Linked DNA regions of Canis lupus familiaris. The main gene of each other region encodes a partner of the protein of the gene in region 2 in a complex. Links are inferred from orthologs where the notes say so. Each region holds a gene or a part of one and is shown on either strand. Other genes may lie near its edges.

What was found.
Region 1: the proteins of BAK1 (region 2) and PXT1 are in contact, whole or in part, in a crystal structure (PDB 8GSV), measured with the Homo sapiens proteins. The link is inferred for Canis lupus familiaris from reciprocal best matches to the Homo sapiens genes BAK1 and PXT1. Residues at the interface, in NP_001179.1 of Homo sapiens: Ile81, Gly82, Asp84, Ile85, Asn86, Arg88, Tyr89, Glu92, Phe93, Met96, Leu97, His99, Leu100, Tyr110, Lys113, Ile114, Ser117, Leu118, Glu120, Ser121, Asn124, Trp125, Gly126, Arg127, Val129, Ala130, Phe134, Asn182; in NP_694535.2 of Homo sapiens: Ile78, Ile79, His80, Lys81, Leu82, Ala83, Met84, Gln85, Leu86, Arg87, His88, Ile89, Gly90, Asp91, Asn92, Ile93, Asp94, Arg96, Met97.
Region 3: the proteins of BAK1 (region 2) and BNIP5 are in contact, whole or in part, in a crystal structure (PDB 8IGC), measured with the Homo sapiens proteins. The link is inferred for Canis lupus familiaris from reciprocal best matches to the Homo sapiens genes BAK1 and BNIP5. Residues at the interface, in NP_001179.1 of Homo sapiens: Leu78, Ile81, Gly82, Ile85, Tyr89, Glu92, Phe93, Met96, His99, Leu100, Tyr110, Lys113, Ile114, Ser117, Leu118, Ser121, Asn124, Trp125, Gly126, Arg127, Val129, Ala130, Phe134, Ala180, Leu183; in NP_001010903.3 of Homo sapiens: Ile246, Ile247, Gln248, Met249, Ile250, Val251, Leu253, Leu254, Lys255, Arg256, Val257, Gly258, Asp259, Gln260, Trp261, Glu262, Glu264, Gln265, Ser266.

Annotation. Positions count from the first base shown.
Region 1 is NC_049233.1:5,707,184-5,717,235, forward strand, and holds the start of PXT1 (peroxisomal testis-specific protein 1), read right to left. Parts: upstream 5,781-10,052; 5' UTR 5,644-5,780; intron 4,729-5,643; 5' UTR 4,720-4,728; coding exon 4,551-4,719; intron 1-4,550.
Region 2 is NC_049233.1:3,127,834-3,137,878, forward strand, and holds BAK1 (bcl-2 homologous antagonist/killer), read right to left. Parts: upstream 5,158-10,045; 5' UTR 5,147-5,157; coding exon 5,077-5,146; intron 4,066-5,076; coding exon 3,930-4,065; intron 3,595-3,929; coding exon of another isoform or gene 3,576-3,594; coding exon 3,432-3,575; intron 2,343-3,431; coding exon 2,162-2,342; intron 2,034-2,161; coding exon 1,929-2,033; 3' UTR 1,919-1,928; downstream 1-1,918. Other genes in the region: gametogenetin-binding protein 1-like, read left to right, coding at 8,435-8,898, 9,566-9,680. UniProt on the Homo sapiens protein: Plays a role in the mitochondrial apoptotic process. Upon arrival of cell death signals, promotes mitochondrial outer membrane (MOM) permeabilization by oligomerizing to form pores within the MOM.
Region 3 is NC_049233.1:5,613,088-5,622,376, reverse strand, and holds part of BNIP5 (protein BNIP5), read left to right. Parts: intron 1-519; 5' UTR 520-523; coding exon 524-1,142; intron 1,143-2,258; coding exon 2,259-2,378; intron 2,379-4,069; coding exon 4,070-4,134; intron 4,135-4,397; coding exon 4,398-4,638; intron 4,639-5,674; coding exon 5,675-5,806; intron 5,807-6,653; coding exon 6,654-6,715; intron 6,716-7,021; coding exon 7,022-7,262; intron 7,263-8,136; coding exon 8,137-8,268; intron 8,269-9,141; coding exon 9,142-9,206; intron 9,207-9,289.

The DNA.
Region 1 (10,052 bases), about 2.6 Mb from region 2:
AATAACACTGTATTAATGCAGAAAGATCTCCAAATCATATTGTTAAGTGAGAAAACAAAGACAATGTGCTTTGTATGCTACCTTTTCTCTAAAAAGGGAGTATAAAAATCTATACTCACAATTATTCATATTTACATAAAGAACCTCTAGAAGAATGTCCCAAAATCAAGAACAATGGTTGCCTATAATAAGAAGTGCTGAGAGTGGCAACTGAACAGACAGGGAACAAGAATGTAAGACTTTTCACCATATGCCAAAATTTTCATATTCTTTGGTTTTCCACTCATGAAAATGTGTTTTTATAAGCAAACACTTGTATAGCACTTAATGTCTCAGTCATTGTTGCATGCTATTTAAAATTAGTAACTCATTTATTATTGATATGTTAATGTGAATACTCAAATTTTAATTTAAAAAATATCTCAGGGATGCCTGCGTGGCTCAGCAGTTAAGTGTCTGCCTTCAGCTCAGGGCATGATCCTGGAGTCCCGGGATCAAGTTCTGCATCAGGCTCCCTGTGAGGAGCCTGTTTCTTCCTCTGCCTGTGTCTCTGCCTATCTCTCCCTATCTCTCTCTCTCTCTCTTTCTCTCTGCGTCTCTCATGAATACATTTTTAAAAATCTTTAAAAAATAAAAAAATAAAAAATACCTCATGAATGTCATAATTGTACTGCGGTTATGCAGAAAAATCTTTGTTCTTGGGAGATAAATTTAGAGATAGAATTATTTAGAGATGAAGTTAGTATATCTACTTTATCTAACTCTCTTTGTAGCAAAGAAAAACATCTGTACATCCATTCACGAGTATGTGTGAATGTAGAGAGAGATAAAAAGATAAAGTAAATGTGCCACCTCCCCCCCAAAAATGGTAAATCCATGTAAAAGGTATATGACTAACCATAGACTTATTTATGCAACTCTTTTGTAGATTTTAAATTTTCCAAGGTAAACACTGGAAAGGAAAAAATATCTCAGGAAAGTCCTTAAAAGTGAAATAAAACATTTCTATTTAGTTTCTATAAACTCTTTGGACTGGTTTTCAAGGCGCTTAGATCACATCTCAATTCATCCATCCAGCCTTCTTATCCTGTTTGACCAAATCTTACCTTTGAATCACATCTCAAAAATTACTTTCTCAAGATGTATTTTTTGAATCTTCCAAAAGACTGTGTTCTCTTACCACTTTGAATTCCTGTAGTGCTTTTAGTTCTGTTGAGATATAGCATATTCTAAATGGTTATAATCATTGCATGTTTTTATTATATAAAACAAGAGATGATAATGTATATTAGACGCATATATTGATTTTTAAGATTTTATTTATTCATGAGAGATACAGAGAGAGAGGCAGAGACACAGGCAGAGAGAGAAGCAGGGTCCCTGAGGGGAACCTGTTGTGGGTGGGATTCTATCAGGGAACTCTAGTATCAGGCCCTAAACTGAAGGCAGATGCTGAACCACTGAGCCACCTAGGCATCCCTAGATGTGTATAGTGTATACTTACCTACTGTACATACATTGTCTATAACAATAATTATAGGTTATGAGTCACTCCCTAAGAACTTAACAATTGAATGATAAAAGTGTCTTTGATAACTTGGAAGCAAGATTAATTTATATGTGGTGGAAAGGAGTGAGAGGGGCAGTCACTGGAAGGGGAGAGGCTATCAGCTCTCCCTTGGCCAAGCTGCTCCCTCCGCCTGCAACTCCCACTGTCCTTAACTCCTTCAGGTTCTCAGGCCTGGGTTACATCTTGAGCGAAGCCTTCTCTAATCTCTCTGCTAGGTCAAAGACCCATTATAGCACCTGGACCTCTTCTTAGCACTAATCCCATCATATTGAACATTACTATGTTTAATTGACTACTATCTGCCTCCTTTACCACACAGTACGCTCCGGGGTGGAAGGCACTGTTAATGTTTTTGTTCATCACTGTCATCCCAGTATGTAGCATGGCATCTGGAATTCAGTAGGCCCTAGCAATTTTTTTTTTTGAATGAATAAAATAAGAAAATGCGTCCACCTAGAGGAAGAGGGAGTTGATGAGACTTAGGAGAAGCAAAAATGAGCACCCAAGCACTCTCAAAGGAGAAAGAGGCTGAATAACTGGACTAGACTTATACAATCCACTTATCTCATTTATACCTAGACACACACTTACGTCATGCTGCCCTCCCCTACCAGTAATTATTGCACTTTTTATAAGTGGAAAAGCCCTATTTTGTTTTTACTAATTGTTTCCCCAAGAGTTTCTCATTTCCCTTAAATGACTTATCAGGACCTCCCAAGGGGAGGGGATGCCCAGAGGGGATGCCCTGGACTTCCCAAGATCCTCCGCATCCCCTCAACTTTTCCAAGAAAAAGTGGTTAAGTTCCCCTCACAAAAATTGCTTCCTTGGGGACCCCTGGGTGGCTCAGCGGCTTGGCGCTGGCCTTCGGCCCAGGGTGTGATCCTGGGGACTCGGGAGCGAGCCCCATGTTGGGCTCCCTGCAGGGAGCCTGCCTCTCTCTGTGTCTCTCATAAATAAAATCTTTTTTAAATAATTGTTTTCTTTCTCCGAGGAGTTCAACGTTCAAACGTGTCTATTTCCCAAAAGTAACAAGAGAAACAGATGTGGGCTTCACACTGCATAACGACTGGTGATTTCCACTTCCAGTCTGTGTCCAAAAGCCAAAAGAGGGGGAAAGGAGACCTTTCCAGAATCAGCTTCCTCATAGGGGTTTTACGTTGAGCAGTACTTAAGGCGTTTTTTGGTTCTTTTGTTCTCGTTCTTGTTAAGGTTCCCAGCGAGACAGCTTCCGCAGGCCCTCGGAGCGACCTCCCGCGACCCCACCAGCCCCTGCAAATGGCGGTGGCCCAGCCGCGCTCTCCCGCGGCGCTGCGAGCCAGGTCACGTGGACCCGCTGTGGCCAATGAGGGGCGCGCACCGCGCTCCCGGCGGCCCGCGCGCTCTCCGGGCCCCTGGCGGCGAGCGGGAGACGTGGGCTGCGTGTCCGCAGGGCTCCGGCCGGCGCCTCCCCTCACCCTGCGGCTCGGCGCTCCTGACGCCGTCCGGACACCTCCGCGGCCCTCTCACAGCGCCGCCCTCAGTCTGCGCGCACCTACATGCCCCCCAAAGGCAAAGGGAGAAGCGCGCGGCAGCCTCCTGGGCCGGGAAGCGGGTGGGAAAGAAGCGGGAGGCTCGTGCCGGATCCCAGCCCCTGGACGCTCGCCGCTGGCCCGCCCGGGGGGCCCAGCGGGTCGGCGCCGCCCTCGGCCCGGGGCGCGATCCTGGAGACCCGGATCGAGTCCCGCGTCGGGCTCCCTGCGAGGAGCCTGCTTCTCCCTCTGCCTGTGTCTCTGCCTCTCTCTCTCTCTCTCTCTCTCATGAATTAGTAAATAAAATCTTAAAAAAAAAAAAAAAAAAAAAGACCAGTCCCGAGTAAGGCTTTACATACAGAGCGAAAACAAACACGTCGACTGGTTGTTGGCGGTCACCCCGTACATCAAGCGGAGGGGCTTTGGTTTTCACCCTGCTTCTGCGTTTGAGGCGAGACTAATTAGGAAAGCATTTGGACCAGCCTCCCATGGGGCACCTCGGAAGGGGCCCGAGGAGGAATCTGTGAGGATCCAATGGTTTCGCTGAGTGTGAAAACGTACCAGGAAAAGTTTACAACATTAGTTCCAGAACAGTGATTGCGATTGCGCAGCCTTATGAATATGCTGAAAACCACTGGATTCTGCCCTTTAAGAGGTTAAACTTTATGGTGTACGGGGTTACATCTCAAACATGTTCTAGAAGGTATTCACAGGTGACAGTCTCAGGCTTTAGGCAATCATTGTTGACACCTGCACATACCAAAATTCAGTATTTCAGTCAATTCGGGTCTTTCTAGAAGATAGCTACCCTATTTGATATGGTGGCAAGAGACTATCAGGATGCCTGAAATTGCCACTTTCTCAGTGGCTTATACTTCTTTTTAAAATGGAGAATAGTCTGAAATTAGCTTTGATTATTCCTCTCAGGTGTTTAGCATATTCTTAATCTAAAAGTCTAAGAAAAAAAAACATAAATTTAACACCTGATCCTAATATCCTTCACAACATAAGGCTTTAATTTTCCAACATTCAGGGACATTTAGTAAGCGTGCAAATTTTTGTAAAACAATAATTCAAGCTTATCTTTCCTTCATGTTCTTTCCTATATTGGCAAAATCAAAGAGGAACCTAAAGTGTATTTTCCCTACTTAACATGGACATTGTCAGGTCAAGTTAAAGACGAATTTGTATTAAAAGACAAATATGATCTATTTTAGTTAATTTGGGGTCATCTGAATGAGTTGTCACATCAACAATTCAGAGCTAATAGACACTAAGAGATTTAGTATCATGAGGCAAAGTCAGCTTTAGATTTTTACCACCGAAGAACATTGATGAATAGATTTACCACTATCTTCTTACAGTTAATGTTTAAATAATCTATTTAAGGCCCAATTTTATGTCCTCAATACCAAGCAAAATATGTGCTAGATAGAATATTTATCTTAGCTTAACACAAATAATATCTTACCTGGGTTCCTTGACATGGCTGAAACTGGCTGGGAGCTGACAAGTCGGGTCATGTACTCCTTCTGAAAACTGTATTTCACCCACAGGGATTTGCAACAATTTGTTACTTTGGGAGAGGGATTCAGAAGTTCTTTAGGTTCACAAACAATGGTATCATGTTTTTTCTTCATGTTTTTTCCCTGTTGAAAAATATATCTTCAGAGAATTTCCCCCATCAGTATATATTCAGTATGTTTGATGAATATTGGTGTTCTCACAATACAAGCAGCCTTTATTCTACATATCTAAGGGTTATGGTTTAGAGTGGAAAATGGAACAGGGTAATTAAGGTCTTTTTTCAACTTAGATAAACATCTTTAAGACCTATGCTGTTGGTCTTTAGATCTGCAACACCACCCCACATCCTCATCTCCAAGCAGTTTTTCTTCAATAGCCACGTTCTACCAACAGAGCAGTCTAAATAAGTATGCATAGAAAAAGGCAGACGTATTAACATCACCAAAAAGAAAATAGATTAAAATCATAGAGATGGGGAGGGTTGGAGATGAAATACATTTTTGTCCTACTTCCTTGTGTATGTATGATTTTGTATTATCTCTTTATGTCTCCACATACACAAAGTCCATCTCTACAAACACTAATGAAGACTATTCTCCTGTCCCACCTTTTTCTAATACTGTAGCACCAACCCAATACATTGAAGAATTGAACTGAGACTTTTCATTGTTTACCAGTGCCTTTAATTCTCTTGACTTAAAGGTTGGCCACAGAGTTTCACTTTCTAGTTTACCTTCTAAATCTAAGCAGTTACTGAAAGGGAAGGAATGGTTAAGAGCAGTCAGACAATAAAGAACAACAAAAAAAAGTAACAGGAGAAAACTTCAGGAGTCTTAGATCAGTGCTACCCAATACAAATTTGTGACTCAGATATGTAATTTTAAGGTTTCTAGCAGCTACACTAAGCAAGTAAAAAGAATCATGTAAAAGTAATTTTAATGATATATTTTATTTACCCAAATATATCCCAAAATAAATCCAGATATTATCATTCTAATAAGTAATCAGTATAAAAAATTATTAATGAAATATCTTACATTCTTGTTAATGTACGTCTTCAAAATCCAGTATGTCTTTTACACTTACAATACATCTCAATTTGGACTCAGCCACATTTCCGGTACTCAGTAGCTACACGTGGCTAGTGGCTGCATTGCAGCTTTAGACAAAGAAACAAGAACTAAAAAGAAATGACTGAGAGAAAAGTAATAAGCAGTTATCTTGCAAACCAAGAGGGGGTGGGAATCAGCAAGTAGAATTCTGACTCATTATTTTTCAAATATACTACATTTTCCAATGCAGAATGCTACATGAATATTTTGATTTTTATAATTTGAGCCAGATTAGGGAAAGGGGAGCTGTGGGTTGAAGGGTTGTGAGTGCCTGGGCATTTTTGATTTTTGGTACCTTGGGCAGCTTGATAGTTGTTTTGTTTTCTTTTTTAAATCCCTGTGACTTCTTTATTTTATCACTGAAAATTTGTGCTTCTTAATCCCCTTCACCTATTTTAACAGCTTGACATTTTAACTATATGCATCAGGCAACCTTCTGATCCTAATTTGATTTCTCAAGTAAACTTTACATTGCAAAAAAGGACATGCTCTCTAGGTAATGCATCACAGCCAAATTAGCCCTGAATAGAATTATTAAATATTAAATATTAGTTTACTAATATTAAGTATTAGTAAATAGTCAAAGTTGACAGTCAAGATACAGTTACAGAGTGAGGTTCTTCTCTTTTTTTAAGATTTTATTTATTTATTTGAGAGAGAGAGAGAGCATGAGAGGGGAGAGGCAACCGGAGAAGGAGAAGCAGGCTCCCCACTGAGAAGAGAGCCTTATGCCAGGCTCAGCTTGATCCCAGAACCCACCAGGATCACAACCTGAGCCAAAGGCAGATGCTCAACTGCTTAACCGACTGAGCCACTCAGGCACCCCCAGAATGAGGTTCCTATCTGAAAGAGCCAACTGATAGCCTCCCATAAGCCCATTGTCATCTTATACTATGTACTCATATGACATTGCTAGATAACAGAATAAAATATCTAACCATGGTCTTTTATTTTTTTAATTTTTTTTATTGGAGTTCAATTTGCCAACATATAGCATAACACCCAGTGCTCATCCCGCCAAGTGCCCCCCTCAGTGCCCATCACCCAGTCACCCCAACCCCCCGCCCACCTCCCCTTCCACTACCCCTTGTTCATTTCCCAGAGTTAGGTGTCTCTCATGTTTTGTCACCCTCACTGATATTTTCACTCATTTTCTCTCCTTTCCCTTTATTCCCTTTCACTAATTTTTATATTCCCCAAATGAATGAGACCATATAATGTTTAAAATAAACAATTGAGAATGTTAGAATTGGTTTTTCCCAAATAGGTTGTTTTATAATTTTTCCCAAACTTTTTGGGAAACTTTTTGGGAATTTTGCAGGATATTAAGAGGTATTTATTGAAAAAAAATCATTGCTAATTATATTTTTCATCTAAAATTTATTTTTAGACATATGTAAGAAAAGCACTATGCTGTTATATATAGTTGTTTGTATAATTATATAATTGCCTTTAGGAAACGGTGTGTGTACCTGAAAACAGCAGGAAATCCCAGGTTTCATGAAAGCATTATAGTGGATATGCACATGGAAGCAAGGCAACTACTGAGCTGATGATGTATGTTGTCTATTTAATAATCTTTGGTTTATGCTTGTCTTCTTTCAATATATATTTATGATATTTTTCACTTAATAAATTATGTCATCGGGATCCCTGGGTGGCGCAGCGGTTTAGCGCCTGCCTTTGGCCCGGGGCACGATCCTGGAGACCCGGGATCGAATCCCACGTCAGGCTCCCGGGATGGAGCCTGCTTCTCCCTCTGCCTGTGTCTCTGCTTCTCTCTCTCTCTCTGTCTATCATAAATAAATCTTTTAAAAATAAATAAATAAATAAATAAATTATGTCACCTACTCTGGAAGTTGTTCTGATATAAAGTTTATATATGAACAAAGTTCTTATCATTTCTTGCAATAACTAATTCATGTATGCATTTACATTTTACTGTCTTGTGTGCTAGACTTAATAATGGTCCCCCCAAAGATGTTCACATCCTAATTGGATGTGTGGATATTTTACCTTATGTGGCAAAATGAGAAATAGAAAACTTATACACTATGCTCATCTGAATGGATATTACTATCAGTACATTATCATCTTAAAAGCGTTCGTGTAAAATAAGTTTGGAGATGGACAAGAGTCCATTTGATAGTGTTTCTATAATAATAACTAGACAATCACTGTAACTAAGATTGTTAAACTCTAAATAACTTATTGGTGGTAGCAACTGTAAATCCAGCTACTTTTTTAAAAGTAATCTCTACACCCAACATGGGGCTTGATTGAACTCACAATTCCAAGATCAAGAGTCACATGTTCTATGGACTGAGCCAGCCTGGTGCCCCTAGCTAAAAATCTTTATAATGAGTAATATATGTTGATCAACAATGAAATATATATATTTAGCCCTACTAAATGCTAGGGCTACCCACTGGGGATATAGCAGTCATCAAGACAGAAATACTCCCTTCCCTCATGGAGGTAACAATCTAGCAGGGGAGGCAGATATATACACTTAATTAGAATCATGGTAGGTGATATGAAAATATAGGGAGTGGACTAACCTAGTCTGGGTCGTCAGACAGGACTCATCTAGGAATGATGTTTAAGCTATGATCTAAAAGATGACTTGGAATTGGCCAAGAGGGAAGAGGAGAGAGGGAAAAAGAAAGTCTCAGAGAGCTAGAGTACCACATGCAAAAGCCCAAAGGCAGTAAAGACTTCATGGGACTTGAAGAACTAAAAATAAAAACAGTGGAGCCTTTCAATTCAAGATAGCTGAGAACTTCCCCATACCACTTTTCTTAAAAATAACAAGGAGGAAAAAGAGAAAACAGATTTCATCTTTATTGAACTGGTAGTCACCCCAAACCACAATACACGAAAATGAAAAATGGATCGAGGATGGTGAAGCACTTAGCAGACTCAAGGAAGGTCAAGCTGAAGTGGTTAGAGGAGAAACCAAGGAGAAGCAAGGCAGGTCACCCTGAGGAACCCTAGAAAAGACTCACAAACTGTAAGTAGGTAAAGTGCAGGAAGGAAGCTAGAGTGAAAAATGGGAGAAGTGTAATGCAGAAAAGGGAGATTTGTTTAAAAATCTGTTTAATAAGCAGACAGATCCTCACATCCCCATTCTACCTGATAATATCAGGCTACTGCTTTTACTTTCACAGGAGACAGGAAATGTCACCTCTGGAGAAAGTAAACCAGATGAGTTCTAGATGTGGCAGCATGAGGCATAGATCAGAGAGTGAGATATCTCACTGAAAAAAGAAGAAATAAGGGGTACCTGGGTGGTGCCTGCTTCTCCCTCTGCCTATGTCTCTGCCTGTGTCTCTGCCTTTTCTCTGTCTCTCATGAATAAATAAATAAAATCTTAAAAAAAAAAAGAGGAATTAAGTCTGAAACTGAAAATAAGACACCCAGTCCGCTTCTCCTGCTTGTAGAACTTTGCAGCCAAGTTCTACTCTCTAGCAAAAAATAAAAGGTAAAAACTTTATTCTCAGGAAAAACTGAGCCATGTCAGAAAAAAAGCCAAAGACACTGACATCTGGGGCTCCCCAAAGGAAAACTCTTCAATTGCCACGACTCAAACACACATTTGGGGCCTCTGATCAGCTTTTAGGACTTCACTCCTAAAATATGAACAGATAAAAATCACCATATACCAGAGGGAACCCTTCAACATGAAAAAGTAAAAAACCTCCAACATGTAAGAATCAGGGAGAGAAAAGGAATCACAAGAAACAGAGACAATGCAGGGAGCATATACATACTTCAAAGAAATTAAGAGTATCATCAGAAAAATATTGTATCTGTAAAACAAGAACAGGATACTAAAAGAAGAAATAGTCTAAGAGCAAGGAAGACCAGTTGAAAATTACAAATACTAAAACTATTTAAAATTCAGTAAAAAATTATATATTGAAAGATAAATCCTCTGAAGTAGAATGAACTTGGAAACTGACACAGGTCAGAAAAAGTCATGAGGACATTCTAAAAAATAACTTGCTGATCTTTTTTTTTTTTAATTAGTCTTAAAAAAATAATAAATAAATAAGTCTTAGAGGGAGATAAAATGGTAGGCAGATGGGGAGCATTGCTCTAGATTTAAAAACTCTAAAGAAATAAAACAATAAAATGCAATGTGTGAACTTTGGATCCTGGCTTTTTTTTTTTTTTTTTTTTTTAAGATTTATTTATTCATGAGAGACACAGAGAGAGGCAGAGACACAGGCAGAGGGGGAACCAGGCTCCCTGTGGGGGAGCCTGATGTGGGACTAGATCCCAGGACCCTGGGATCATGACCTGAGCCAAAGGCAGACACTCAACCGCTA
Region 2 (10,045 bases):
GGGACTGCAAGATGCCCTCAAGCAGTGAAGGTGAAGCCCCTAAGCCCTTTAGGACTTGCATGTGACCATTTTGGAAGGGTGTCAGAAACACAGACCGGGATGCCCAGGACTGGAAAGACTTAGTAGGAACATTTGAACGCCCCCGTGCTTGTTATTTTTATCACCCCTCGTTGCCTTCCCATAGGGACTGGGATGCAGCACAAAATTCCTGGAACAAAAAGCCCTGTGTGTGTGTGTGTGTGTGTTTACGTGTGCTAGTTGTGGGGGACATGGGGAATAGGGGACTGAGACACTGTGTCCCAGGGAGAGCCAGGTGTGAGGGAGAAGGGTCTATTGGGCCAGGATGGATAGTGGCCCCGGGGAGCGGCATTAAAATCAGGCCTGGCGGAGGCCTCTAGGAGTCCCCAGACATGCAACTGCCCTACCAGGTCCACAGACAGAGCCCAGCACCCTAATTTCCTAAGGGGTGGGAAACTTGCCTGGGACACAAGAGATGAGGGAGGTGCCTGGGGAGGGACCAAGGCCTTGTAGGGAGCTAGGGCCTGGGAGAATCATACCCAGCCTTCTACAGGTTTGTGGAGGCCTAATAATGAGCTCTAATTCAGTAATAACCCGGGTGAATGCCAGGCATGCCTGGGTTCTCCTAGTCCAGCCTGGTGGAGTGAGGGGTAGCAGGGGATACAGAAATTAGCATATGGAATCAGGGGATTACAGTTTATTTTCAGACACACTCAGAGGGTGGGGGCTGGTCAGCGGGCTCCATCTGCATCCGCTCCCTGCATTTGGCTTAATCATGAACTTCTCTCTCCTTTCCCCCAGACCTGTAGGCTGTGCAAGATAGACAAGGTATTTCCACCCCCACTCACAGAAGGGGCTTAGGCAGGTGAGGAGTGTGAAAAGTGGGGGGTTGGGGGGTCGAGTTCAAGTATTCAGTTTTTCCATCCACACCCCCAGATTACACTGTGCCCAGGCCACAAGGGAGGATCCCAACCCTGGGGTTCCTAGGGACATTAACAGCCCTTTTCTCACTCAGAAACCTCCAGATGAGCTCCTTACCCTCTTTCCCTGACAATAGCAAACCAGTTCTAAACTCTACAGTCTGGGCAAGAAGGGGACCTCAGCACTCCACTTATCCAAGACCCCTCCTTCCTTGTTTGAAGTGATAGGGCCAGGGTGGGCTTCACTTGTAGTGAATAGGTCGGGTTTAAATGGTAATAGGTGAGAGGAAGGAAGAACACTGAGGATCTCAGGAGGCAGACTTAGGGGGTGCTGATGAAGTTGTGACAGCTCTGGTCTGCACCCCCATGCCATCCTCATCCCACCCAGACCCAGAATCCCTGAGAGTCTGCTGCAAAGGCAGTATGAGGTGGGGGCAGTGGGAGAGCAGGGGGGAGAGCTTAGGAAGTGCCAGGACTGGGCTCCAGGCCCAGTAGTCATGCTCTGGCCTTCTAGAACAGCTGAGTCCTACGGAATATAGAGTGGCCTACTAACCCCCCACACCTCAGACATCCTGGCTTAGACAGAGTGGTGGGTATGGTGGGGAGGGTCCTTCCAAGGGCATTATAAAAAAGCTATAACTGTTAAAAATTTGGGGGAAAGTGACTCTCAGCCTCTTGCTTCCCCAAGTTGTCAGTCTCCCCAGTACCCAAAGATAGGGTGGAGAGAGCCCCAGAGAGCTGAGGAAGAAGGATACAGCCTGTCTCTGACAGGATGGGGCCCAGAGAGGGGACCCATTAGCACCATGCAATGTTGGGGCACCCCTGGCAGCCTGACTGACCCTGGGCAGGGACCCTCTCAAACTGGAGTGCACACTTGCTAAAGCTTCTGTAATCTTGAGGAGGGCCCCTGCTGGGGAGGGGGTGAGGGAGAAGGCTTGGCTGAAGTCCAGGCAGAGGTGTCAGCTAGGACCCAAAGGGCCCCTCTGGGAGTCATGATTTGAAGAATCTTCGTACCACAAACTGGCCCAACAGAACCACAGACAGCACTATCAGCACGTTCAGGATGGGGCCGTTTCCCAAGTTCAGGGCTGCCACCTGCCAGGAGAGACAGAGTGGTCACAGTGGGGCTGACAGAAAATATAGGCACTCCAGGGCTGGGGCAGAGCTGGGAGAGAGAGGTGTCCCAGTAGCAGGGAGGAGGTAGCCAGTGCTTGGGCACCTACCCAGCCACCCCTCTGCGCGATCCACCGGGCAATGCAATGATGCAGCATGAAGTCGGCCACGAAGCGGGTCACCTGGCCCAGGAAGCCGGTCAGGCCGCGTTGGTAGACATGCAGGGCCAGGCGGTAGCCAAAGCCCAGGAGAGCCACCACTCGGCCCCAGTTGATGCCGCTCTCAAATAGGCTGCAGACAGAATGGTGATACTGTCAGTGGAGACCCCCGGAGGGCCCGTGGCCTGCTCTTCCTCTCCCACCATCTGGTACCCACCCGCCCTGCTCCCAGCTGGAAAGCAAAATGGCTTAGCTGTAATCAGGGTGGCAGAGGCTGCCCCAGCCTGGCCTGAGTTTGGGAAGAGCCTGCATCTCTGTGAAAGGAGAAAAACTCAGAGGGCAGAGGAGCAGGGCGCTGCTGCTGGATTGTGGCCCCAGTGCCGTGGGGAGCATAGAGGGGCAGAGAGCAGGGAGGGCAGAGCAAGCAGACGGAGGCAGCGGGGAGATTACCTGTGGGTGTTGCTGCTGGCCTGGCAGCCCGAGAGACAGCAGAGAGAGAAGGACAAAGAGGAAGTTAGGATAGGTCCTGGAATCCGAGAGGGGCAGGTGTGGCTTCGAAGGACGGGGCATGATGTTCCAGCTCTGAGCACTAACCCTAAATCTATTGCCTACCCCTACCTTCACCGCAGCGTCAGTCACCTTGAGGCTGACTCCTAACCCAGATCTCACAATAGATGACACCAGTAAGTACAGCCACTGTTCTAAGCCTACTTCCTCTATTTTATAGACACGGTGTCTGAGGGCCAGAGGGTTTCACAAAGCCCGTAAGTGGCAAAGCCGAGATTTGACCCAGGCATGTGGTCAACTACAGCAGACTGCCTCTCAGACACCAGATGGTAGTAAAGGGGAAGTCATTTCCAGGACACAAGCAGCCTGTCTTTGGTAGGGAATATGATTCCAAACTGGAAGGATAGCTGTGTCTCGGCGAGGCTGGGAAGCTCTGGGGACATCCTGATCCTGGGCACCTCTCGAGTCCTGATCTATCCCGTCAAGTCCTCGGTGCCTCAGCTCACAGAAGCTGTGAGCTTATACACTGAAGATGACGAGTCTGGGCCCAGAGAGAGAGAGAGACAGGGGCCCAACACCATGCGTGAGCTAACAGCAGGTACGGGAATGGCACAGGTGTCTCTTGACACTGACAGAGAAGCGTGTCTCTTCCAACCCATGGGCAGGACACCGTGTGAAGGCGACAGCACAGTAGAGAGGCCAGGGCTGGGGCTACCTCGAGGCAATCTTGGTGAAGTACTCATAGGCATTCTCTGCTGTCGGCTGTAGGTGCTGCAGCATGGCCTGGAACTCCGAGTCATAGCGCTGGTTGATGTCGTCCCCAATGATAGCGAGCTGCCGACCCACCTGCCCCATGGTGCTGGAGGAATGGGAGCCAGGTAGGTGAGCACAGGGCAGGCAAGGCTGGGGCCTGGGCTCACGGAGAAGGGGTTCCACCTAAGATGCCTCCGGCCTCGTGGACCCCTCCTTGGAGATTCCTAACCGTGTTCTCAGGCCCAGCCTGGGGTCATGGGGCACACATGCTGCCATGAAGGGCGCAAGGTCCCACATGGAGGTGGAAGCCCAAATGAAAAAGGCAATGATGGCAGAAGGACAGGAACCCCCGGACCCCCACCCAAGGCCTCCCCAGCTCCCCGACCTGCAGGGCATTGACCCCATACGAGCCTCCATCTCCCCGAAGATGTCCCAGAGGGCCCGGGGGGCTGTTGCTCACCTGCTAGGTTCTAGGGGCAAGGTGACCATTTCTGGGTCAGCTGGCACAGCCGCCCCCTCAGCCTCCTGCTCCTGCCGATGGCGGTAAAAAACATAGCTGCGGAAAACCTCCTCGGTGTCCCGGGCTACCTGCTCCTCTAAGGATCAAAGCCAGGAGTCAGGGAGGAAGGGCTGGACCAGGCAGCCCCGTGCTCTGTGGATGGGTCACCCTTCCTGAAGGCCCCAGCCGGCCTCTCCTGTGTCTTCCACGGAGGACAGTGCTAGCTGCTCCAGCCCTTCGTTAACAGCTAGCGATTTCTGTTTGGGATGAGCCTCCCAACAGCCTTGCAAAGTAGGTGAGCACCAGTGTACAGATGGGGAAGATGAGGCCTGCGGTGTTACATACCTGCACGAGGTCACACAGAGCGAGCCACGGAGTAACCAGGGCCTAACCCAGGCATGTGGGATTTTTAGTGTGAGCTTAGTGTGCAATGGTACCTGGCCCTATGGCTCAGAGAGTATGGAAGGCGAAATTTGAAATTGTAGCTTTTGGGCCCAGAAAAGTCACGCAGGGACATAGTGACCGAGCGGAGCCCTGAGCCCGACACCCAGAGAGCAGTCTGTAGTGGTCTGGGGATGGCAGGCTTCCCTGATGGTCCCCTTGGAAGAGGGAAGAAGGGCAGCCATTGTACTTCCTCCCCAAAGTCGTAACACTAACAATTGCTTTCGCCAGTTAGCACGCCTGACAGGGTGATAAGCCTAGGAACTTCCTTCTTTCTCTTACTGTAGGAATAGGAGAGCCACACCCCACTCTTCTCACCTCTCCTCACCCCTCCCTGCTCCTTTTTCCTTAGGATGGTGCTGTGTCCCACCTCACACTCACTCTGGGGGCTCTCCTAGCCCCTGCCCCCCCACGCCCCACCCTGCCCCCAGGCCCAGACTCTTCCCCACTCCCAGGGATTAACCTGGACTGTACTCCAGCTTCTGAGGCCACCCACACCCACCTGCACTGGGTGGGGAGATGCTTTTCTCCTTTATCCCAGGTGAGTGAATAGAGGGCAGGAGAGCCTGCCTATAAGTCCTGCCTGGCCCTGTCCACTTCTGCTCTCACCATCCTCTCCGACAGCCCTGGTGGTTATGGGATGGGTGAGGGGCAGAGAGACCCTTACCAGAAGTAGAAGACGGGGCAGCCTCTCCACACTCCCGCCTGGGAGGCCCTGGGCCTTGCCCGGATGCCATTTCTCAGGTCCCAGTGGAGGACTGGGTCAGCCTGTGGGGATGGGTGAGAAAAAGCAGAGATGGAGACGGGCTGGGGCTGTTGCAAGACATTCCCACAGCCCCACAGCCACAGAGAAAGGAGGAGGGGCCCCCACTCCTAGAAGACCCCATGGCCCTAGCTGTAGCCGCCTCTCATTTCACCACCTTGGGTCCCTGTGGAGTCTGCTGGCAGAATCAGAACTTCCTGAGCATTTCACTAGCAGTCCTTCAAGAGAGGGAGAAAGGCAGGGCAGTCAGGACTCACATCTAGGGACCCGGAGCCTGCAGCCAGGACCCTGGGGAGGGGTGAGAGCAGCAGTGCCCTTGTGGCTCTCAAGTCATAATTCACCTCACTCCTGGGCAAATGAGGGGAGTTTTAGAGGCCGAGGGTTCTTTCTGTTGCTCCTGGGGCCTCTTGCACCCTACCTAGCACATGCTTACCACAGGATTGCCACCTTCTAGCCAATGACCCATGAAGGCTGTGCTTGAAGGGCCCACTTCCCCTTGGCCAGCCAGAGCATGCCTGATTTCCAACTCAGGCCTGTTAGCCACGAACATTTCCTGAGCACCTTCGCCTTACTTACTTCTCCCACTCCTCCAGGGGTGCCAGACACTGAAAATGTACATCCACTCAGCAAGGTAAGCATCAGCAGACCCATTCTACAGGGGGTGAAGTGAGGGACCAAGAAGTTAGGGAGGGGCCCAAGGGAGTCAGGTCGGTAATGGGAACCTCCAGGAGCTCATACCTTCAATTCTAACTTAAGATTGATTTTCCAGTTTGTGGGCCTCAGGGGGTACCCTTTCAAGGCGAGGAGACCTGTGTACAGCCCACCGGTGCTCTCCCCATTCCTGCCTGCAGTGAGCTAAGGAAGCCTTCTCTGCGGCTGCCCCCCGCCCACCCCACAGGTCACCTACCACATACCTGCTCCTGCTCTCCTGTCCCCAGCCCCGTTTTCCTCTTTGCTCAGTGCTGGCCACAGCCCTGATCTGCTCTGTGAACCCTCGGCCAAGGGAGTGTTTCCTGGACGTGAGCTGTTTCACTTTCAATTTGCACCCCTTCATAGCCAACTCCCCCCCCCCCCCCAGGCTGCCTCTGTCAGCCTTTTGGGGAAGTGCTCCTCCTCCCACCCCTGGGGAAGGTGTAGTCCAACCCTGGGCCAAGCACTGCCACCTCCTCCTCCCCTCTTGGAGGACCTGAGAGCACCCTCCCCGCCTACCTCCTGCCTCTCAGGCCTGGGGCCATTTTTGAAAGTGCCCCAAGGCAGGGGTTCTCAGGAAGGGGTGTGGAGGGCTCTCCGCCCCAGCATTTACTGGGGGCAGGGGTAGGGAGAAGGTAGGGCCTCCCCTCCTCCAGCCCTGGGAGCCAGTGCAGATTGCTTGGCACACCCCCACCCCTGCTGCTCCTTCCGGAACAGGATGCCCTTCCCTCTCCCCTGTCCCCAAACAAAAGTGGCACCCCGAGGACACCCCGGCAGGAGGATGCTGACTGCACAACCAACTCCAACTGCCCCTAGCCCAGGGTCTCACTGCTGGGAAGTAGGAGGGGTGTCAGAGCAGCCCCCAGGGCCAGAGGCCTGTGCCATCCTGCCCTCATCCAAAGGCCTGACTTCCTGGTAAGGGGAGTCCAGTGCTCTCCACTTGCTAGGCCTAGATGTTCCCTAGGGGGAGATGCCTGCTTGGGAGGCTCCTGGGGCAGAAAGAAGCATCATGTGAGTTCTCTCCCTGCCCTTGACCTTGGCTCTGACCTCTGATTCCCAACTCCACCTCCAGCCCCCACTGCAAAAGGACCCGGTTCTTTGGTGCCCAGAGCCAGGGCAGGTTCGGGGGTGGGCAGGTGGGGGGGCAAACTGTCTGAGGGGCAGCCAGAGGGAGCCCTGCCTGGATCGGCCCCAGCAGGGGTTGGCTGCCCAGGCAAGCCTCCAGACCTACCCTCCCCCCCACCCCCCCCATCCCCACCCCAACCTGGCTGCCTGCAGACTCCTGGGTCTGGGGCTGCTGAACGCTGCGAGGATGGGCAAGACCCTCCTACCTTACCTGCCCGACTCTAGCCCAGGCCTGGGATGGCTCACAGGGCCGAGGCCAAAGATCCTGAGAGGCCAGCAGCTGTTCCCCGGGGGCTGGGTGCCCAGGCCCAGCTTCCAGGAACAGGCGTCAGGAGAGTCCTGGAGTCTGGACGCAGCCTCAGCCTGTCACGGCGTGGCCCTAGTGCTGCGGTGATCCTAGAGGTGCCGGCTGCTCCGGCTCCGATCAGCTCCCCCTAGAGGAAGCTGCTGTGTGGCCGCCGGATGCGGATGCTGAGCCCGTGGCTTGGGGGTCGGTCTAGGCTCTCACGTGGGGGAGGCGCTCCACCCCCCACACTTGGCCCCGGTCAGGCAGTGTGGCTTCCCCTCTCCCACTCCTGATGCCCAGTCCCGGCCTTTGATCTTCACCCCCTTTCATCAAACAGTACCAATAAAAAAGCCAGGATGGCAGAGTTTCTTAAGCACCACAGTGTGCCTTGCACTTTAGCGAGGGACACTTATCCCTCTGAATCTTTTCAGTAACCCCTGGAAGTAGGTTCTGTCCACTACACCTGTTTTACAGATGAACAAACTGAGACTCAGCGGGTTTAAGGAACTCCCTAGGTCACTAAGCTGGATTTATAATCAAGTCTGTGGATGCCGTGGGGAATAATACCACTAAATTGAGATTCCACGTGCAATTGAGATGTGTACCCAAGGCACCTTGGTGGTCTCCAGAGATTCAAAATCCTGAAGGTGACAGACAGGTAGACAGAGATGAAAACAGGGGTGTCTGGGTACCACCTGGGCACGTGCCAGTGGATGCTGCAAGGAGAGAAGAGAGGAAGGACAGATAGCTGTAGGGACTGGTTCTCAAGGGCAGGGGCAGCCCCGACCAGGGAAGGACAAGCCAGGTAGAGAGGGGTGTGTACAGAGGCCCCAAGAGCCCCTGCCCCCTTCTCCGTCCAGGTACCTCCAGCTTCCTCTACCGGCCCCCCCACCCCCCATGCCTCCTGGAGCCTACCCCAAATCCACTGCCTCATACCTCCTTCCCCTGCCTCATGACTCTTCCCTCTCTGCCCCCAGCTAATCCCCCCTACCATGTCTTCCTCCCAGCCTCCCCATCCCCCCCACCCTCCATCTGACCTTTGCCTTCTAGAACTCCTGGAAGTTTCCAACTGGAGGTTTTAATTTGGAAACTCCTCCTGTTCTTAAGCAGTTGGTGGAGGTGGCTGCTACGGCCCCTCCCTTGGAGTCAGGGTCCCTCAGGATGGAGACCCCAGCTTCAACCCCTCAATCCCGAATTTTGGGCCGCTCCTCCATGTTCCGCTTTTTCCGTAGCCTGGTGGGGAGCAAGGGCAGCCTAAAGAGCTCTGACAAGGGCCTGATGGGGAGTCAGGCATGCCCCTCACAAGAGCAAGATGCCACCCCCCTGATGATAAACTGCCAGGGAGGGGTGGGGAGGAAGGAGCTGAGGCCGCCCACCACACTGTCCTACACGCTCTCTGTGGCTTTGCCACAGCACAATTCCTTGGGGCTAGGGATGGGGGACACAGGGGCCCAGATCCCCACTCCCATGGAGGTCCTGAGAGTGGGGGCCCAGGGTAGAGAGGTGAAACCCATCCTGTCCAGGGGAAGCCAGAAGATGCTGGGCAGCCCATCGGAGAAGAAGGAAAGGGAAAAGAAAGAGAAGGCAGTAGGGGAGGCCTCCGGAGATACAAGGACCTCAGACAAGTGAGGGACTGGGCTATGGGGGGCAGGTAGGGGCCTTGGATGGGGGGACTGGGGCAAGATATGGGGCTGAGATGGGAGGACCCATATTGAGGAGGGTCCAGGAATATAGGTCTTCAGATGGATAGAGGACTGGAGTAAGGCCCTCACCTGGGTGCGGAAGGGACAGATATATCGAGGATAGGAGGGAACCTGAGGGGCTTGGGGACCAGAGATGGGGTGAGTCTTCCCACAAGTCAGAGGTTGTGGGTGGAGGCACCAAAGATGAGAGAAGGACAGGCTGGGGATCGGGAGGGGCAAGTGCAAGGGTGAGCCAGGCTGCCATGGCTTCCCAGCTCCTTCCTGGTCCCCACTCTACCCTACCTTCCCTCCCCATTCTCTCCCTCCTGGTCCCCACTCCCATGGGGACCTGGCATCACTCCCTGTGAGGAAGAGGGCCCACCTCCTCTTCTGTTCCCCACCTTCCTTCTCACTCTGCCTTCAAGGAGGGATACCCCCCTGTATGGTGAAGACCCTAGAGGGCCAAGCAGGGATCTGTTGGAGGTGGGAGGGGGGAGGGGCCTGAGCAGGGCCCATGGGAGGGCCTTAGGGAGTTTGGGGGGTTTAAGGAAGCCTTTGTCACATCTCTGGCTCCACCTGCCACCCCCATCTGACTCTGCTTTGGGGTCAGGGGCCACTTTGTCCAAGCATTGGAGGTGGAACAGCATCCCCACAGAGGGCTGTGGGGCCACTGGAGGTCTGCCCCAAGACCTTCACCAGGGAGGAGAAGGAGTGTCTGCTTGACGGTGAGTGTGGTGGCCATAGGCATTGAGACAGTGCCAGAAATAGGCCCTTGTCCTAAGACTCGTTAGGGGTGTGGGGCCTGGAATGGAAGGACAAGGGATAGGTATGAGGGAAGGAGGGGAGGGAGGGGGCAGGCTGCCTGGATTTGAATCCCTTCTGGTGCACTATGCCAAGCTGTGGGATGGGGGCAAAGTTGCTCAACCATTCTGTGCCTCAGTTTCCTTACCTACAGAATGAGAATGGAGCAGTATCTACCTCAGGGGGCAGGTGCAAGGAGTCAGTGAGATGCTCTTTGGAAAGTGCTTAGTGCTATGCCTGGCACATAGGAGTTGTTTGCTAACAAAACGAGGCACCTCACCCTCACTTG
Region 3 (9,289 bases), about 2.5 Mb from region 2:
GAGCTGTCTTGTGAGACAGACAGGCAGGTCTCAGGCATATTTCAGATGAGGACTGTGGTACATGAGCTGCCCAAAGTCCCAAGGGGCAGGACGTGGCCCCTGGCTCGTTATATTAGATTCCTATTGCTGCTATAACAAAATACCACAAACTCGGAGGTTTGGGGGAAATGTGAATTAATCATCCTCCAGTTCTGGCAGTGAGAAGTCCACAAGCAGTCTCAAGGGCTAAAAGCAAGTTGCTGGCAAGGCCGTGTCCTTCTGGAGGCCCTGGGGTAGTTGCAGACCGGCTGTGACATCTGGGGCATGACCTCCTATGGTTTAGTTCCCTCCTCTGGAACATGAGGACAAAGATAGCCCTTCCTCCCAGATGGTTGAGGAATTTAAATGAGACAATAGCATTGGGGGTTGATGGTCACTCACACGAATGGGCAGGGTGGGTCGGAGCATGGGTCGGCATGTTAGCCCACCTGTACATCTCTGGGAGGTATCCTGTAAGGGAGCTGTTTGTTTTGTTTGTAGTGCAATGGATCATCCACGGGGACCCAAGAAGCCTCCGTCGGGGAGGAGAGCCAGGTCTCTGGAGAGGTCACACAGCCCCAAGAAGGACTCAGAGTCATGGAACTGCAAGGGCCATTCCCTGCCCATGTCCACTCCCCCCTCCAAGAGGGTGCTTCACCAGACGGCCAGTGATGGGACCAGATGTCCCCAGAGCCCAGCTCATGGCCATGGTGTCCTGAGCCTGGAGGAGACCAAGAAGTTTCTCTCCAGTGACCAGAGGCCTCCGCAGGACACCAAGAAGGACAAGACCCAGAAGCGGGGCCAGCAGGGGTGGCTGAAGACCATCATAAACTTCTTTCTGAGGACAGGCCCTGAGGAGCCCAAAGACAAGGCCAGCCGGAAGGCAAAGGGGAAAGAAGGCCTCCCCAAGTCTGCAGAAACCCCGGAAGCACCAGGGGACACAGCTCCCAGGAAGAAAGCCCACGACAAGAAGGCCAGCCGCAAGAAACACAGTCACAAGAAACATGCTGCTGAAGAAACCAAGGGGGCCCAAGATCATGAGGCCGAAGGCCAAGAGACAGGGCTGCCCAACCTGGCTGCTACCCCATGCTCCAAGGAGGCTGACCGGGGCCCAGCACCCAAGGGTGAGCAGACCGTGCCTGGTAACCCCCTGCCCCACCCTCAAGGGCTATGGTCCTCTAAGCGGGCTCTTCAAACCTCTCAACAGAAGGGACGTGGAAGGTGGGGCGACCATCAGGCACAGCTCCACTGTGAAATGTCTTCTAGGCAGAACAGCACCATGGCAGAAAGCCTGCGGTCAAGGCCCATTTCCACCACTGTTTTCTTTTCATCCATAAAATGGGGGTAATAGTTGCTCTCCGCTGGGATAGCTGTGGCCCGGAGCTGGCCCATGGTCCGCACATGGTGGCTGTTGTTGTTAAGTACTCTAGTTGAAGGAGCAAAGACCAGGGAGAAACGGGAAGGCAGGGAGAGCGGTGAGGAGGGGAGCCCTGCCCCAGACATCGATCCATCTGTGTGGACCATGGGTGCGGCCAGAGACGTGGAAAGAGCCAGCTGCCCAGTGCCAGTCCCACACTTGGCTGTGTCAGGAATAAACTTGCTCTGTGACCTTGGGCAAGTTACGGCCCTTCTCTGGGACCTTTGATTCCTCATTTCTAAAACAAGGAAGCTGGTCCCCAAGGTGCCTTTCTTTTCTGACTCTTATGTCTGGAGTTGAATACACTATAGGCACCTGGAGGTAGAGCACTCAAAACTCACCATGGGGTTTTTGGGTTTTTTTTGAGATTTTATTTATTTATTTGTTTATTTAGAGAGCATACATGAGTGAAGGGAGGGGCAGAAGAAGAGAGAGAGAGAGAGAGAATCTCAAGCAGACTTCGCACTGAGCGTGCAGCCTGACACAGGGCTCGATCCCATGATCCCAGGACCCTGAGATCATGACCTGATTCCAATCATGACGTGAGCCCAAACCAAGAGTCAGACACTCAACTGACTGAGCTACCCAGATGACCCCAAACTCACCATGTTTTTCATAAGGAGAAGGAATGCCTGGGTTGAAATGGAAACCTTGGCAGGTTTCTCATTTTTTGTTTTTGGTTAAGCCTGGAGCTGGCTACATCAGTGTCTGTCTCTCTGCAAATTCTGTCATTTTATTGTGTTCGTGAGCAAAGTCAGAAGAACGTCCCTGACACCCCCTGATCTCCCCTCAACCCATACACTTATTTCCATCTTTCTTCCAGGTGGGGAAGGTTCTGATCTTCCCCAGTCCTTGTGCATTGAGGATGGGGTTCCTGGAGCAGCAGAAATTTCTCCTCAAGCCACAGGTCACCGGTGGGGAGAAGACCTCAAAAACACTGACAGTGAGTCAGAATCTACAGTGTCCTCTTTCTCTGCAGTGGGGGTGGCCGATACCAAATGATTATAATGCATTGTTCTGGATGACTGCTTGGACCTTGGATGGTCCTCTCAAGATCATGTACAGATCTTGTTCCTTCTGGGGCTTCTGGTCACATTTACTTATTTTAGAGTTTCACAGAAGGGAGTCTCAGGAATTAGAACGGCCACTGGCAAATGTTCCTGCCTTATGTGTTAATGAGCATGAGACTTTTTAAAGTCTTTTTCAATTTAGAGAAGGAGTGTGGAATAGAAGAGTATAGATTGTATATACATTGTTAAATATATGGAAGAGTGGAAGAGTTCTACAGATACTCATATATTCACAATTGTTGATGTAGGCCACCATTTGCTTCATAAATGTGTGTGTGTGTTTAATTTTGTTGCTGAGCCATTTTCAGTAAAATGATCCTTCATCCTTAAATACTTAAGCACGTCTCTCCAAGAAATGAGTACAGTCTCATGCACAACCACAATACTGTTATTGCCCTTAATAAAATCAATAGTGAATGCTCTATGAATCTAATTCCCTATAATGAATGGGCACATTTTAAAAGATATAAAACATCTCTGCATTTGTCAAACAATAACTAAAAGGCATCTAGTTGGCTATTCTGCAGGCTGTTTATTTTACACGTAAATTGTTTTGTTTTTGTTTTTTTAAGATTTTATTTATCTATTCATGAGAGACACAGAGAGAGGCAGAGACATAGGCAGAGGGAGAAGCAGGCTCCCCATGGGGAGCCTGATGTGGCACTCGATCCCAGGACCTGAGCCAAAGGCAGACGCTCAACCACTGAGCTACCCAGGTGCCCCTCGAATTGGCTTTTTCACATGAGAGGAAATTGGCTGGTTGACTGAGTCAAAATGTGCAGACAGCCCGGGGCTGGGGGAGTCTTGTTTACACCTTCTTTCATGTAAACCGGTCAGGTGACAGCTAGCAGAAGCTACTCTGAGCATACCGTCTTTGGGTCGGTTGATGAGGGTATCAATGAAAACCATTTATGTTGTTTGTGGTTTCTCCGTAAAGACTTGGTGTGCTAGAGGTGTCCACCTGTCAGGCTGTCTGTGTTACATCTGCTGGAGTCTCTCCATTCTCTACTTTAATTAGGCTGAGCCTCCACAATTTTCCCCACTGGAACTTTGCAGGTGGGAAGATTGGTATTAGGCTCCTAAATTATTTCCAAGCACAGTTCCTTAATGGCCTGATAGCCAACTGAGGGAATTGGGACCGGGATTACGATTCACACTTCACAGAGAGATGAAGGCCCAGAGAGGTTAAGAGATTTACTCAAGGTCATACAGCTTGCCAAACCCAAAGCAGGTACTTACAAATCTGTAAAGGCCAAAGGAAATAGGGGGTATAGGTTGAAGCTTGACCTGAGATTGCCTGCCTAAAATTGCATGCTTTGGCCTACTGCCCTTTCCTGTGGCTCTCCAGAGTCTCTCTAGAAGGATTAGCTCCTGGGACACGGTGCTTTTCCCCATGTCCGTGGGCCATGGACCTGTTTTAAGAGCTCTGTCTCTCTCTCTCGTTTTTTTTAAAGCTCTGTCTCTTAATACAGGACTAAGTTGATCCCAGAAGTCCAAGACAGTCATTAGAAAGGGGTCTCTATGCACATGGAAAGACTAACTGGGTGCATTCACTTTCTTCCAGAGGATACAATCATCAAGATGATAGTGGAATTTCTCCAAAGAGTGGGAGACCAGTGGGAGGAAGAGGTAAGGAGCAAAGGGCCTGTGTAAACCCCCATCGGCTTGACCTCAACCCTCCTCCTCCTGTCCCTACTCCCCTCTCCTCCTCCTCCTCCATGCTCAAACCCTGTCTGCCCTTCCAGGCTTCAGTGCTCCCCGGCTCTGGGCTCTCTCACCTCCCTTACCTGGGGCCACCCCGAAGCACCTGGCTGCTCTTTGGTTGCTTCTCGAGGAGCTTTCCCTCTCCTCAAGGTCAGGGCCTGACTCAGTTTCCCTCATCTCTCCCACAGCAGCTTCAAGCTCCTCAGCTGGTGTTGGTGTCGCAGAACCCAGCGCCAGCTGTCAGGAAGAAATCCCAAGAGAAAAAGTCTAACTTCAAGAGAGCCTTTTCTCACAAGAAACATAGCTCGGAGGAGCCTAAGAGAGCGGGGCCTGGAGAGGTCTCCAGCCCAGAGTCCCGGCCACTCAAGAGGCCCAGCTTTCTGCCCCTGTGTGTGGGGGGCCATCAGCCCTCCACCTCTAGCAGCCCTGGTGAGCAGACTCAGAGTCACCATAGCAACACTGCAGCTGCTTCCAGTTCTGGAACCTTCTCCAGGGCTGGAATTGGCCGTTTGAAGGGCTGCCATCCCAGTTCTGACTTTTGTTCTGCTCCAAGCAGTGTGGGGAGGGCAGTGGGAGGAGAAAGATCACCTCCACACGCGAGACCTCACTGCCCAGGCAATCGAGCTAAGCCCACAGCAGACACTGTTGAGGGATCCCTTAGCCATTCACATCTCTCCATCATCCAGCTTCTCTACCCTGGCAGGGGGTAGCATGTGCAGGAAGGAACCACGGCCTGGGAAGCAGGGCACCTGAACTCTGAGCTACGCTTTCTACATCATTCGCCATCCCTGTGCCTGCCTCAGGCTCCTCACCTATAAAATAAGATACTTCCGTACTGCGTGTCTATACTCGATCAGTGTTCATAGCCATATTGTTATCCCCATTTTATAGATGAGGGAACTGAGGCCTGAGGAGGTAAAACAATGTGTTTCAGGGTCACATGGCCCACCAGTGTTGGAAACTGAGCCAGAGAGAAAGGATCATCCTGGGTGGCGGGGAAGAAGAGCCTAGCCCAGCCGCTTGGCCTGGCTGGGGGAATTTAGATTTTAAAAAGGAGGGGCAATGCTTCACACCAAATATGAGCCCCAGTGGCAGAATTGCAGGTCACAGGGGCAGGTGGCCTCATGCAGGGGGTTTCTGGCCCTGCTGGGATAATTCACACTACGGAATCAGGCCTTTCTTCTCCAAGCCAAGATGCTGGAGGAGGGATGAGGTTATCAGGGGAGGGAGGAGAGGAGGGCAGAGCCCAGGAAAACTGGTTGTTAGGAAGTACAGCGGGATAAGGGAGGCAGGTCTGGGCCCGTGCACGGAAGCCTTGACCCTGACCCACCGCTCACCTCTGCTGCATCAAGACCTTTGCACATTCTAGCCACAGAGTGAACTTTGGAACCTCTGCTAACTTCTGCATGTGAGTCAACACCTTCACATTGATGAAACACACCCACCCTTTCTTCTTGCTTCTCAGGCTTGGAGGAACATAACATACAAGAGGCCGCATCCACAGACAGTGGGGGTCCAAGTCCCTTCCAGCTTTCCTCCCAAGCAGGAGGTCAGGAACCAGAAGAGGACGTGCAGACCAACACAGCCTTGGAATTCAGTTAGTACCCTCTCCTCTTCTTAGAGGCCTGTTGGAAATTATCTGATCCGACCCTTCTACATGTAGAAGAGAAACGGACCCAGAGAGAGACAGTGACGGGGCCTTGACTTCCTCCGAGCACAGCAGGCAGGGGCAGTGTGGCGTCCGGGGCACTCAGCATAGTTAATAAGCTGCCGAGAGCTAATTAATGTTAGCTGCCCTTTGTTGTTGTTATTGGTGTGGCCATGGAGCCCAGCTTGAGGACAGGGCCTCAGCAGAGGTCCAGAGGGAAGGACAGAGGCAGGGGCTCTGGGGGAGTTCAACAGGTGGCCGGCTGCCAGCATGCTTACTGTTTCCTTGCCATCGGCAGGGCCAAGGATGGGGTCGTACGATCACTGTCAGTTCTGTGCGTCTGGAGACGGTTTAAAGATCCCCTTCCCCCACACACCCCTCCTGCTTGTTTGCTCTTCACAGAAAATGTGCCTTGAAGGGGAATTGAGAAGGCCCCTGTTCTAAGTAGAAGAGGAGGGCGGTGCTGGGCGAGGGGACCAGGCCTTTCCAAATGGCCTCGAGGCACCTTCTCCTGGAGGCAGGGGCTCACCATGTAACGTGGCACCTATAGGCGCTCACTGACCAACGAAGAAATGAACATATTCCCAGGGCACCAGCTCTGCTCAGGCCACTTCTGAGGAATCTACCGGTGTCCTCAGGGCCCGGCCTGGGACACCGGACAAGGGCAAGCTCATGAGCAGCCTGGAGACCGGTCAGATTCACCCAGGGAGCCACTTGGGCCTTAGGAAGTGAGGACAGACCATAGATAAGCTTTTCTCTACCCTCGAGTGCAAGCCACCGTTTTGTTCTTTTTTAGAAGAATTCATCCAGGAGATCATTGCCCTACTCCCGGATGCAGAGGAGCAGTGGGGAGTGAAGGTGAGGCCGACGTTCCCAACCCTTGCTGGGGACACCCCCACCCCTGCCTGCCATAATAACTTCGCTGCCCCTCCCCCAATTCTCCATCTTTCCAGAGCCCACCTCCAAGCCTTCCGCCTTCCCGAAGCCAGCTTCCCCGACCCCCATGGCTTCAGGCCACACTCGCGCTGGCCAGGCTGCACCTGCACCCTCTGGTCTACACGGGGTCTCTGTGTGTTTCAGGGGGGGCTGGTCTCTTTCCCCAGCTTGCTTGCAATCTCCTCAAGGTCGGGGGCCCTGACTCAGTTTCCCTCATCTCCCCCACAGCAGCTTCAAGTCCAGGAACCAGAGGTGGCTGTAGAAAACCTGTCCCTACCCTACAGAAGGAAATCCCATGAGAAAAAGAGCAGCTTCAGAAAAGCCTTTTCACATAAGAAACATGGCTCCAAGGACCAGAAGAGAGCTGGGGCTGCAGGTGCCACCAGCCCAGAGTCCCGGCCGCACAGGAGGCCCAGCTTTCTGCCCCTGTGTGTGGGAGGCCATCAGCCCTCCACCTCCAGCAGCCTTGGTGAGCAGCCCCAGCATCACCATGGCAACAGAGGCTGCCTCTGGCCCCGGGCTTCCTTCAGAGCAGGCTAGGCCAGCTGTGTGACCTCTGCTTCAAGCTTGATTCCACTCTCTGGCTCTCTGCTCCAATGAGGTGGGGAGGTGTGGGAGGGCTGTCGAGAGAGGGGGTGCTGATTGCCAGCTGGACCCACCACCCACGATGCCAGCCTTCCCTTCCCCCACCCACAAACACACAAATACTTAAAATCAAATGCAGTCGGAGAGCAGTGCATGGGTTCATCAGCTGGGTGCATCTGACTCACCCGAAAGCTAATAGAAAACCACAGAGACCTGGGTGTGATGAAGTAGGATATGGCCAGGGCCTCTGCTTTTTTACTCCTCCGAAGCATGAGGTATACAGTGATTCCCTTGACATGTATGGAGGGCCCACTACATGCTACTGTCCCACATGTTATCTCACTTAAGCCACTTATAACCGGTGAAGTCAGTCTTGGTATTTCCATTTGACAGATGGAGAAAGTGAGGTTCACACAGGGGAAGTGACTTGGCAAAGCCTCACAGAGCAAAGGGGATGTGGGCTCATCTGGTGGGATCTGTGGACAGGCCTGCTCTGTTTCCTCCTGCATTGTGAGGAGGGAGGCAGAGGGGGCTGGTGGCAGAAAATAAGAATATTTCTGGAGGGGGTAGAGAAGGCTCTGTGAATGCCTTTGAGGTGGGCGCTGGAGGTCTGGGGGCTCCCTGAGGAGCCCAGGGAAGCAGGACCCCTCTGGGGCCAGTGCCTTTGGACAGCTTCTTGTCAGAACCTGGACCTGGATATGCTTGTGGATTTGAGACAGGTGCAAAACATGCTCACACCATCTCCTTTCTGCCCTCAGATCTGGACGGCGTCGAGTTCCGGGAGTCCTTGCCCACCGAAGGGGCACCTGTTAAGCCCTCAGATGCACCCTCCCAGACCAGAGGCCATAAGCCAGAGGAGGGACCACAGCCAGATGAAGTGTTCGAATCTAGTTAGTACCACCCTACTCTCTCCCGGGGCGGCTGCTGTGGGGTTTCTGTTTGCATGGGCCTCAGAGGGTGACTTCGAGTAGGGTCTGGGAGGGCTACTGACAAACACCCCAGGAGACTCTAGCAGGCTGGGGAGGAGGCAGCCTTGGCCTTTCAACTGGGGCTCCTGGGGCCAAGTTGCAGGTGAGAACACCTGTCTTTCTGTGGGATGTAAATTCACCCACCCTGCTCCACTGGTTTGCTCGAATGTTTCATATAAAATTCCCGGCTTGCTCTGGGTCTCATAACCAGTGGTGTTCTGGCAAACAGAATGAGGGTGGGTGTGGTGGGGGAGCCCCGATATGTAGCTTTTGCAGATTTCCGTGGTGTAAGTGTCTCCACCATGGCTGATTTCAAGCTGCCAACTGTTGATGATGAAAGGTCTGCAAATATTCAGAATATTTGCCATTGGGTCTTGGTAGGATCAGACAAACGCATGTGGCCATTTACAGCCCCGCCTGGTGGACGCGATCTTGTTACATCCATGGCTGTGGCGTCTCCCCCTCCCTGCTTTCTAATTAGCTGCTCCTGGTCTCAACTCCCATTCGTGACCATGCTACTCTATAGCCTGGATAGGAGACATTGGGTGATCTCAGTTTCCACATTTGTAAAAATGGAGCTGAGGTGAGGCTCGACTGGCCAAAGTCTTTTCAATTCCTATAAACAAACTCAAATAAAGCTCTCATGCTCCAGCCCTAGTTTTGGAGAAGATTTTTCTTTGCCCTTCAAAACTCATCTGTGTACTGTGTTTTAGAGACAAAATACCGTCTGTAGTGGGAGGGTGTGTTGTTGCAGAACTTGTCAATGGCCTCTGAATCGTTCTTTATTTTCTGTAGAGGAGATGATCATTCAGAGGCTGGCGGACCTTCTCCAGGAAGTGGATGGCCAGTTAGGGGAGCAGGTAAGGACTACTCAGTACCCCCAAGGCTGGCCCCGGAGGCCTCATCAACCCACAACTCAGGCCTGAATTCAATCCCCATCTCT